3 linked regions of the Oryctolagus cuniculus genome follow. The protein of the gene in region 2 purifies or fractionates together with the protein of the main gene of each other region. This does not show direct contact. Links are inferred from orthologs where the notes say so. Each region holds a gene or a part of one and is shown on either strand. Other genes may lie near its edges. The genes, in order: STRIP2, SIKE1 and STRN4.

Evidence for each region.
Region 1: the proteins of SIKE1 (region 2) and STRIP2 purify together in Homo sapiens (affinity purification with mass spectrometry; 3 studies listed by BioGRID and IntAct, with this or other methods). This does not show direct contact. The link is inferred for Oryctolagus cuniculus from reciprocal best matches to the Homo sapiens genes SIKE1 and STRIP2.
Region 3: the proteins of SIKE1 (region 2) and STRN4 purify together in Homo sapiens (affinity purification with mass spectrometry; 3 studies listed by BioGRID and IntAct, with this or other methods). This does not show direct contact. The link is inferred for Oryctolagus cuniculus from reciprocal best matches to the Homo sapiens genes SIKE1 and STRN4.

Annotation. Positions count from the first base shown.
Region 1 is NC_091434.1:165,658,274-165,661,918, forward strand, and holds part of STRIP2 (striatin-interacting protein 2), read left to right. Parts: intron 1-2,598; coding exon 2,599-2,673; intron 2,674-3,264; coding exon 3,265-3,362; intron 3,363-3,645. UniProt on the Homo sapiens protein: Plays a role in the regulation of cell morphology and cytoskeletal organization. Required in the control of cell shape. Calmodulin-binding scaffolding protein which is the center of the striatin-interacting phosphatase and kinase (STRIPAK) complexes.
Region 2 is NC_091438.1:55,562,748-55,566,492, forward strand, and holds the start of SIKE1 (suppressor of IKBKE 1), read left to right. Parts: upstream 1-1,050; 5' UTR 1,051-1,658; coding exon 1,659-1,817; intron 1,818-2,049; coding exon 2,050-2,155; intron 2,156-2,975; coding exon 2,976-3,118; intron 3,119-3,745.
Region 3 is NC_091449.1:10,658,034-10,661,678, forward strand, and holds part of STRN4 (striatin-4), read left to right. Parts: intron 1-1,092; coding exon 1,093-1,252; intron 1,253-1,749; coding exon 1,750-1,863; intron 1,864-2,199; coding exon 2,200-2,315; intron 2,316-3,645. UniProt on the Homo sapiens protein: Calmodulin-binding scaffolding protein which is the center of the striatin-interacting phosphatase and kinase (STRIPAK) complexes.

The sequences.
Region 1 (3,645 bases), on a different chromosome or scaffold from region 2:
TAGCATCTGTAGACTACCTTAGGTTGGGCACTCAAAGTAGGTAGACCTCTGAGAAGGTGACTTTTCAGCACGATCTGAAATGTGAGAAGAAGCCAGACGTAGGAACACCGGAAGAAAGAGCCTTCCAAGCAGAGGGAACAGCAGGGAGCAGCGGGAACAGAGGGGAGCGCAAGGACAGAGTGTCTGGAGAACTGAGCTGAGGGGTGGGGTTGTGGAGGCAGAGTCAAAGACGTCACCTGAGACTTTACACAGGACCTGTAAGCAAAAGTGGGGAAGCTCAGAATTGGTTCCTGGCACACGGGAAAGCCTTTTGGGTTTTAAGCAGGGAAGCAACATGATCTGATTTATGCTTTTATTATTATTTAAAAAGTTTAATTATTTGAGATAAAGAGAGAAATATAACTCCCATCTGCTGGTTCAAGCTCCATGGCCTATAGTGGCCAGGGCCAGGCCAGGGCTGAGGCTGGGAGCCTGGAACTTAATCCACATCTCCCATGTGGGTGACAGGAATCCAAATACTGAGTTATCACTGCTGCCTCCCAGGATCTGTGTTAGCAGGAAGCTGGATCAAGAGCCAGAACCAAGAATCCGACTCAGGTTCTCTGATGTGGGATGCAGATATCTTGAGCAATGTCTTACTCACTAGGCTAAACTCCTACTCCAATTTATGTTTTTCAAAACTATTGGCTCAGGGGCCGGTGCTGTGGCATAGGGGGTTAAGCCACCACTTCCAGTGCCACCATCCTATATGGGTGCCTGTTTGAGTCCCAACTGCTCCAGTTCCCATCCAGCTCCCTACTAATGCACCTGGAAAAATCAGCAGAGGATGGCCCAAGTGCTTGGCTCCCTACACCCACTTGGGAGGCCTAGATGAAGCTTCTAGCTCCTGGATTTGGTCTGGCCCAGCTCCAGCTGTTGCTACCATTTGGGGTAGCTGATGGAAGACTTCTGTCTCTGTGTCTCCACCTCTCCTTCTCTTTAACTCCACTTTTAAAATAAATAAATAAATCTTTAGAAAACAAAAGAACAACAAAAACAAAAACCCATTGGCTGCCACGTAAAGATAGGACCAGAAAAGAGTAGAAGCAGGGAGACCAGATAGGCAGCTCTTAAAATGGTCCAGGTGAGAGATGATGGTGACCAGCACTGGGGAAGTATTTATGAACATGGAGAAAAGTGAGTGAACTTGGGCTATATTTTAGAGATCTAGCTGACAGGACTTGAAGTTCAATTGGATGTAGACAGGCAGAGAGAGGAATCCAGAGTAAGTACCCTTTGCCAAGATGGGGAGGAATATTAAGAGTTCTGTTTTCATCATACTAAGCTTTAGACGCCTGTTAGCTATCCAAGAGACACTGCCAGGCAATCAAATATATAGGTCTGGAGTCCTAGGGAGGAGGCTGTTTCTAGAAATAAATTTGAGAGTCACTGACTTACAGACCATGTGAATAGCCCTAGAACCAGCTGCGGTGACTCAAGGAAGGAGCAGAGACAGAGAAGAGCATGGAACCCTTGACAAAGCCCTGGGACAAGCCAATGTGTTGAGAGTGGGGTGAGTTAGAAAAGGAGCCAGAAACGAAGAGTAAGAAAAACACAAAGTGGGAGCAAACCCAGGAGACGGCGGCATAAACACTAGGTGTTTCAGTGCAGGCGTTTGGCATAGCTATAAGATGCCAGTTGGCTCAGTACCCAACCCTGCTCCTGATTCCAGCTTCCTGCCACTGTGCACCCTGGGAGGCAGCAGCCTTGGCTCAAGTCCTCGGCCATTCACACAGGAGACCCAGATTGAGTTCTGGGCTCCTAGCTCCGGGCTTCAGTCTGTATTAGCCCTGCCTCTTACAGGCATTTGGGAGTGAACCAGTGAGTGGAAGCTCTATCTCTCTGTCTCTTTGTGTACCTATATCTCTGCCTCTCAGATAAATAAGTAAAACTGAGGGGAAAAATGGCCACAGACAGTTGTGCATGGGGGGACTCGTCAGAAAAAGAAAGTGCTGTTGTTGGGGCTAATGGAAAGAAGAAGCTAGTTTGCTTCCACCTAAAAGCTTCCCTGCAAATACTCCTCCTGTCCCTCTGGGTTATAAGTCACCCTTATGAGCCTTCATTGTTGAGCCACCTACCTCTTCTTCCTGGATTACAGAGCGTTCTATAGCTCTTGGCTCCCCAGGTGGACACCGTGGAAAGTACCTCTGTGTGCAGCGTCTGTTCCAGTATCCCAGGCATACCTGTGGCCTACTTGAGCCCATGTGTGTCCAGGGTGGTCCTTCTGGCCTGTGTGTCTGTCCAGCCAAGCAGTCTTCTGACCCAGCTCTTGGGAGGAAGTTGTGACTCCTGAAAGAAATTCTGGACTCACGCCAGGGAGTGGAAAAACCGGAATCATACATTGTGAGACCCAGAAGAGCCAAGAAAGGCCATGCTGACCAGCCTGCTGATCCTACTGAAGAAGAAATTAGGACTTGGAGAGGAAGGTGACCTTTCCAAGGTCGTACAGTGAGCCATCAACAGCTCTAGGGGGAGAACCTAGGTCTGACTCGGCCCCCGTGCTCTCTGCACGCCACCCCTCACGACCTGGCCTATGCAAACCGTGTGTTTCTGCCACAGGGGGAAGAGGTGGTTCCAGAGACGCCGTGTGAAATCCTCTACCAGGGCATGCTGTACAGCCTCCCCCAGTACATGGTAAGGAGCCAGCTGGGCCACCGCAGCCCTTCTCCACTGCCAGGAGCACACAGCCGGGAGCCGTGTCAAGCTGGCTGTCCGCCCTTTGAGCTTTTCCCTGAGATTTCGCCCCTCGGCAAGGCATTCTGAGCTTTCCCCAGGGCCCCTCTGAAGGAGCTGTTCTCCCTCCTCTTTCTTTGGGAGGGGTGGACGACAAGGTGAGCCTTGTAAGGGCTGAGTTGGGGGCCCTCCTCCTAGGTAAGTGCAGAGTCCTCTGAGATCTGCCAGGGCCGCCAAGGCCTACATAGCCTCACGCTGAAAGTGGGGGCAGTGCTGCCAGTCAGGGTGGTGGGAGGAGTTGAGCTTATCCCTCCCTGTTTTTGTGCAACCTCCCCTTTGGATAGAGCAGTCTTGAAGCAGAGCAGCCTGTCAACTCCCTGTGGCTCCCTCCCTAGCCTAACAGGCAGGCCTCTCAGGACTGGGCACCTGTTTGCCCTTCTGGGTGCTGGGGAGATTTGATCCCCAAGGGAAGAACATAGGGAAAGGCTTGAAAACGCTTCCCATGGGGCTGGTGAGGTGGGGAGAACCACCGCCTCCTCTTCCGCTTCCCAGATCGCTCTGCTTAAGATTCTGCTGGCCGCAGCCCCCACCTCCAAGGCTAAGACAGACTCTATCAACATCCTGGCAGACGTCCTGCCCGAGGAGATGCCGTGAGTGCTTCCACCGGGCACTAGCTGTCTTGTCTGTCCCCGCCCCTCCTTGTGAACGCTCACGGGATCGTCCCCAGCGAGATCTCCCACTCCCCGGCAGGCCTCTCTGCTGTGCTCTTTTTAGCTGAGGACGGAGGGCCTGGAGGGCGACCTCCGTGCCAGTGACTGGCAGCCCAGGGATGTGGGTGGACACTGCCAAGGGACGAGCTTCCCCGAGGAGAGAGAGAGCAACAGAGACCAGTGGAGGTTTTCTCCAGACAGGCTTGCAGGTGGGAACTCTGCA
Region 2 (3,745 bases):
CTGGGAGTACAGTGGAGGATGGCCCAAGTGCTTGGGCCCTGCACCCCATGGGAGACCAGGAGAAGCACCTGGCTCCTGCCATCAGATCGGCGGCCATTGGAGGGTGAACCAATGGCAAAGGAAGACCTTTCTCTCTGTCTCTCTCTCTTACTGTCCACTCTGCCTGTCAAAAAAAAAAAAAAAAAAAAGATGTAAAATTTCTGAAGAGGAACAACTATTGGAACACTTGCAAATCAATATAACAACACATGAGTCATTGCTATTCTGGTTAGTTTATTTCCAATTTTCTAACTGAATTAACAGCCACAACAAATTGACGGGACAAGCAGAAAATAATGATGACTCCACCTTACACCGCTTAGGGTGACTATTTCCAACAATAATGCTAATAATTAGCGTCAACAAGGAAGTGGAGAAATCGGAACCCTTGTACACTGTGGAAGTGTAATGTGGTGCAACCTCTGTGAAGAACAATACAATGATTTCTCAAAGAATTCTAAGTTGGATTAACAGATGAGTCAGCAATTCCAAACATATAGATCCACAGATGTAAATAAATCCATGTCTCCAAAAGAGCTTTAAGAAGGACCTCAGCGAGATACTTGCAACAGAATCATTCACAACAGTCAAAAGGTAGAAGCAACCTAGGTGTTTATTGTCAGATGAATGGATAACAAAATGTGGTATATACACACTTGCATAGAGGAGCATCATTCAGCCTTTAAAAAGAAGGAAATGTAGACACATTACAATACTCACATGGATTAACCATATAGCACTGTGTTCTATGTGAAATAAGCAATCGCACACACACACACAAAATGCCATATGAGTTCACTTATATGTGGTGCTTAGTCAAATTCATAGACAGAAAATAGAAAGGTGGTTTGCAGGGGCTGGGGGTGGGGAGAGGCCGGAAATGAACAGGGTACACCCTAAATCCTTTATACCTCTTTTTTTTTTAAGGCCAAATGCAGCCAACTCTTACCCAATCCTATGATTCTAATAGTGGGTGAAAGGTGATAACAGAAACAAGAAAAGGCATTTGTTTTGCTTTTTTTTTTCTGCTACCAGATATCTTTATTTAAGTGATTGTTTATTTAATTTCAATCAAGGACCCTAATACTGAATGGTAATAATTTTCCTTAAAGGGTACAGCGTTTCAGTCTCACAAAATGAAGAGTTCCAGAGATGGATGCTGGGATGCTTGAACACTGGAAATGTACTTAATACTACTGAACTGTACACGAAAAACGATCCCGATGGCACATCGTAATGTGTGTTTTACTACAGTTTTGTTAACAGTTACATGGAAAAAGAAAAAGCCAGGCACGACAGAAAAACAGTCGACATCAATCAAAACCAACAGGGAGAGGAGTTCAGGCTCATCCCGCTACTGCTGAGCTGGACCACCCGGCTGTGGGAACGGGAAAGCAAGGGCGTGGCAAGGGCGTGGCAAGGGCACGCCTCGGGCTCCGCGCCGGGCGGGGCTGCAGGGAAGCCGCAGGTTACTGCAGGTCACCCGGCGGACCGGGCGGCCACTGCGCAGGCGCTTCTCGACGTACCGGAAGTGACGCTTGTGTCGCGGAGACAGGTTCAAGGGAGAGCTGAGCAAATAGCGTAGGTGAACTGGCCGGGATTTGGGTCCGGCAGCCGCTATGAGCTGCACCATCGAGAAGATTCTGACGGACGCCAAGACGCTGCTAGAGAGGCTGCGGGAGCACGATGCGGCCGCCGAGTCGCTGGTGGATCAGTCGGCGGCGCTGCACCGGCGAGTGGCTGCTATGCGGGAGGCGGGGACAGCGCTTCCGGACCAGGTCAGGCGGAGGGTAGCGGACCAGGGCCCTGGGGTTCTGGGCGCTTGAGGAGTGGAGAGCGAGGTGACGGGGGACCTCGGCCCGCAGTTTATCCCTGGTCTCAGGGCGGCAGGAAGACCTTTCTGCAGGGTAGGGGCTGGTGATCCTGCCCTGGCGCTCTGACTCCTGCCTCTTCAGCTGCGTCTGCCCCAGTTCTGTTTACAGTGCGCTTAGGCTGTCTCTGTTTGTGCAGTATCAAGAGGATGCATCCGATGTGAAGGATATGTCCAAATACAAACCCCACATTCTGCTGTCCCAAGAAAACACACAGATTAGAGACTTACAGCAGGAAAACAGAGGTGAGTCAGGCCTTTGTGTGGTTAGGATTGTTTCACGTCTGGGAGTGGCGAAACTACCCTAAATGTATTTTCAGGTCAGTACTTTTACTAGGAAAGTTACCGTGTGCTGGCCCAGTAAGAAGCTTGTTAGATTACCCGTTCCAAGGTTTGTTTTTATAAGCAGCTTATCAAAGAGACGCTTGCTTGAATTGAATTATTGCATGGCTTTTTTAGGTACCCCCAGATGGAGGCTTGCATGACGACACTGTATATCCTTAAGGGCTTAAAGTTGAATGTTTAGATATTAACGTAATGAACCCTGATGTTAAGTTCGAAGGTTTTGTATATGTTCTTACACATGATGGAAGAGTGGAATTCTATCCTCAGAATATATATTTGCATTCTTAGGTTGATGAGTGCATTATTAACGACGTTAATAGTACTAGTTGTACAGCGCTTTACAGGGGGCTTTCGTATATGTTATTACCCTGTAGTCTCCTGTCTTCATTTTGAGGTAGGCAAGCCAGGTATTTATACAGTGCCTTTAAGAAACAGGCTCAGAGAAGTTAAATGAGTTACTTATGAGTGGTAAGCAAGTAAGGCACAGAACTGAACTCAAGCCGGTGTTTTTCTGATTACACACCCCCATGTTGTTTCTGCCAAACTGCTGCCTCTACCTAGAAAGTTATTTTTCATGTAGACTTTAGCTGTTCAGTTTGCTACAACTTTGGGTTCACAGTATCATGGAGTGTCATCGAATTCCACCTATCAATAGTTAGCCTTTGGGATCTGTCTCACAGCCTTCACTGTTCAGTTATTTTGTTTTGTATCTGTTTGGTAGAGCTCTGGGTTTCCCTGGAAGAACACCAGGATGCTTTGGAACTCATCATGAGCAAGTACCGGAAACAGATGCTACAGTTAATGGTCGCTAAAAAGGCAGTGGATGCTGAACCGGTCCTGAAAGCTCACCAGTCTCACTCTGCAGTAAGAAACTTGGATGCTAAATTCTAAATGAACTGAATGAAAATCTTGAGATTGTTTTAGATCATGTCCATTTTTTTAAAAAATAAAAGGCAGGTTTATTACATTCAGTGTTTATTTGCTGTGGCTTTGTAAAGCTGTGAATAGAAGGGCATGAGTGGCTCCTGAGATCCTTTAATTTGAGTGGGGCTAACGTCCCTCCATCCTTCGCTAAGATCTGTTTTTAAGATGTTAATGAATGCTTAGCTTTTCCAGCAATTTCAGGTAGTGCTGAAGGTGGTGCCCACAGTGGCAGAGTGGGTAAAGCGGCCGCCTGCAGTGCAGCATCCCATATGGGTACTGGTTTGGGTGCCGGCTACTCCACTTCCAATTCAGCTCCCTGAGCAGTAGAGGATGGCCCAAGTGCTTGAGCCCCTGCACCCACATGGGAGACCCAGAAGAATTTCCTGGCTTCTGGCTTTGGATCAGTGCAGCTCTGATCATTGAAGTTCATGGAGAGTACATATTATTTAAAAAACTGAATGAATTTCAAAACTGCACCAAAAGAAACTAACTGCTTAATTCTAGTTTACATGAACTTTTTGAGGTATCTTCATGGTTGGTTGAGTATTACTTGCACATACCAAACTA
Region 3 (3,645 bases), on a different chromosome or scaffold from region 2:
TCTGTGGCCTGGGGTCTGCTTAGTCACCTGACCCCATGCCCCCTCTTGGAAGTTTGGCTTGTACGTCGCCTCCTCTGGGAGACGTCTCCCACCCTGCTCCTCTCTCGATGGCCTTAGCCCTGGTGTCGGTCACCGTGCGTGTCCCACGTGCCCCGTGGGCCGGCTCCTCCCCGTGGGGGTCTCTGCCTCCACGTGCCCTCTGTCTCCGTGCAGTAGACTGTGGGAGGCAGTGAGGAAGGCCTGGCTAGGAGCCTGGACAGACCCAAAGACCCCCCGCCCCCCACGGGTGGGACTTGGACCCAGGCTTCTCTGTCTCCGCTTCCCTTCCTGACTCGGCCCGGGTGACGAAGGGGCCCTGACTCTGGATTGGCGAGGGGGTGATGGACTGGAGCCCGTGTGGAGCAGGCCCCCTGCACCCCCGGGGGGGCAGGTGTTAGCGGCTGCACGAGGCACTTGGTCCTGGTCCCAGGCGCTGCTGGGGACGTGGTTGGACACACCCCACGGAGCAGCTGTGGTGGCTCCGGCTTCTGTGCCGCCCTGATGCCCGCCGACACCAGCCACTGCCTTTCCGGGCAAGCTGATTGGTCCTGGGCCCTAGGTCACCCCATGTCCCGCCCCTCAGGTCCCCTCACAGACGCCCACGGGGTGTCGCCCCCGAGTCCCCAGCTTGTGGGGCTGACTGCGGGGAGTGTCAGCGGCTCCCTGGAGTCCGAGGCTGCCGAGGCTGGGGGCCCAGGTTGCACCTAATGGCCTGGGGCGGGCAGCTGCTCCGTCCTCACCTGTAGTACGGGGAGGGTAATCGCGGTCACCACAGCGGCTGCCCTCAGCTTGTGATGAGGCTGTGCACTCGGTGGGCGCGTTGGATCTGGAGCGGGAGTACCCTCGGCAAAGCCAGGAGGAGCCCGCGGTGGAGGGCAGCGCTGTGTGCCCGCCGGTGGGTGGGAGGCCGCTGCTGAAACCTGCCAGCAGGGGGCGCACCGCGGTCAGAGCTGGCGGGGAGGCAGGAGGCAGGAGCCCAGCTGTGTGTTCCCTGCACCTGGTGGGCTTGGTCTTCGTCCGAGCCCCTGACCAGCTGGTTTTACCGTGCCGCAGCTCCCATCCAAGGCGCTGGCGCCCGAGATAGAGGATGAAGACGAGGAGGACGACTCTGAGGATGCCATCAATGAGTTTGACTTCCTGGGCTCAGGCGAGGATGGGGAGGGGGCCCCAGACCCTCGGCGCTGTGCTGCAGACGGAAACCCCCATGAGCTGGGTGAGTGGGCGACTTCCTGGCTGGCCTCTGCTCACCTTCCACGCCTGCCTGCCTCGTCCACACGCAGCCACCTACAGCTGCTTCCTGTCCCAGGTCTCCACCGGACGGATACGCTTCCTTAGAGGAGAGGGCCAAGGAGAGCGGGCGGGAGCCGTGGGGCTGGCTGGGAAAACCCCGTGGGCCACGGCAGGCGTCTAGTTGTAGCCCGGCTCGAGGGGAGAGCAGGATGAGCGGCTGGTGGGGCCGGGCCGTGGCTCCCTCTGTCCTGTGACCCCTGGCCTGCCTGGAGACCCTCGGGGGTGACATGGGATGGTAGCTGGGGGCCTCCTCCCCCCCTGAAGGTCCCAGCTGGCCTTTGTTTCCTCTGCCCTTCCCGACCTGGGGCCAGCACTTCAGCACCACCCCCTACGGTTGCAGGGAGGCGCGGGGTGGGGGCGGCTCCTGTGCCAAGCCGGGGAACTGGTGGGAGACTCCTGCCCCCTGCCTCATCCCTGCAGAAAGCCGTCGGGTCAAACTCCAGGGGATCCTGGCTGACCTTCGGGATGTGGACGGGCTGCCCCCCAAAGTGACAGGCCCCCCTCCTGGCACGCCCCAGCCCCGGCCTCATGAAGGTAAGAGCCCCTGCCCCGAGCCTTGCCCCGTCCCCTGGGGCCCACGGCAGAGGGAGGCTGCAGAGCTAAGCCCAGGGCTCCCGTGTCCTCAGGGTGAGGCCCAGCCTCCAGTCTGCAGCCTCCCTGTCCCAAAAGTTGGTCTGTCTGTCTCTGTCTCCCTCTTTTTGTCTGTCCTGCCCCAACTGTCTGTCTGTCTGTCTCTCTGTCTCTTCCTTTCCAGCTGTGATTCTTGGTCTTGTGCCCTCCCTGCCTCTCTTGCTGGCCCCTTATCTCTCTCTGCCTCTCTCTGTCTCTCTCTCGCCCTGGCCCTCTCCGCCCCGCCCCTCCCGCTACCAGGTTCCTTTGGCTTCTCCTCAGACGTCTTCATCATGGACACTATCGGGGGCGGGGAGGTGAGCCTGGGGGACTTGGCGGATCTCACCGTCACCAACGACAACGATCTCAGCTGTGACGTAAGTCCCTGGGGTGTCCCGTGCCAGGCCCAGGCTCAGTCCTCTGTGTCTGAGGACATGGCGAGGTCGCCCAGCTCCTGTTCACCTGGTGACAGAGGGGAGCCAGGCAGATGGGAGGGACCCCGTGGCCTGTGGCCTGTGGCCCGTGGCCCGTGGCCCAGCAGCTTCGGGGGCCTGCGACTTCCTCGTGGTGCCGGCTCCTCCCTTCCGCAGTGATCTGGGATGGAGGAGGGTGCAGGTGGGCCAGGCCAGTGTGGGGTGAGTGGGGCTGGGGGAGGGCCCTCTGGGGCAGCGTCCAAGCCTGGAGTCCTCCTCGAGCGGGCCCCTGGATGTCCCTGGTGTGGCACAGAGTGCTGGGTCAGGGGTGCTGCTGGGGGGTACAGCCGCGAGGCTGGGCGGAGCTCCTCGCTCTGCCCGTGGACCCGGGCTCTGAAGGACTGGTGGCCGTGACGGCCCCGGCGCCTCGGGTGGACTGAGCCCAGCTTGGGCAGGGCGCTGAAGCCCACGTGGCAGTCTGCTCGCCTCGCCATCAGGGCACGGGCAGTCCGTAGGACTCGCCCACGGAGGCCTGTTGATTGGCTCCCAGACCTCCCCCAGCCCGCCCCGTGAACCTGTGCCTGCTCTCCTGCCTGCCCCTCCCGAGACGGCGTGGCCTCTGGAGCTGTCCGCCTGCAGCCGCCGCCACCTTGCCCCAGTCGCAGCCTCTCAGGCGGCGGTCAGAGCAGCCTGCTTGCCATGGCCGAGAGCAATGAGGAGAAGCAGAGGCTGGGCGTGGCTCGCATTTCTGGCTGCTGCTGACCTCTCTGGTCCTGCCTCCCGCCACCTGGACCCTTGCTCTCTGTGTCCCAGCCATCCTGGCTCCTAGGTGCTGGGCTTGCCCGTGCTGCCTCCTGTATCTTTTTCTTTTAAAAGATGTACTTATTTGAAAGGCAGAGTTAACAGACGGAGGGAGAGACCCTGCATCCGCTGGTTCACTCCCCAGATGGCCAGGCCGCAGCCAGGAGCCTGGGACTCCATCCGGGTCCCCCACGTGGGTGCAGGGCCCAAGCACTGGGGCCGTCCTCCGCCGCTTTCCCAGTCCACGAGCAGGGAGCTGACCCGAGGCAGAGCAGCTCCGCTGGCTTAGCCTGCTGTGCCGTGGCGCCAGGCCTGCCCTCCCCATCGCATTGAGCCTGCTCACTGTTACCCCTCAGGAAAGCCTTGTTGACCCTTGACCCCTTCAGAGGCAAGGGTGGTCTCCCAGGAGCCAGCCTCTGTGGAGGGTTGTTGAGTGGGGCGGGGACTGTGCCCAGAAAGAGGAAGGGGAGAGCGCCGGGCGGGCGAGGCGATG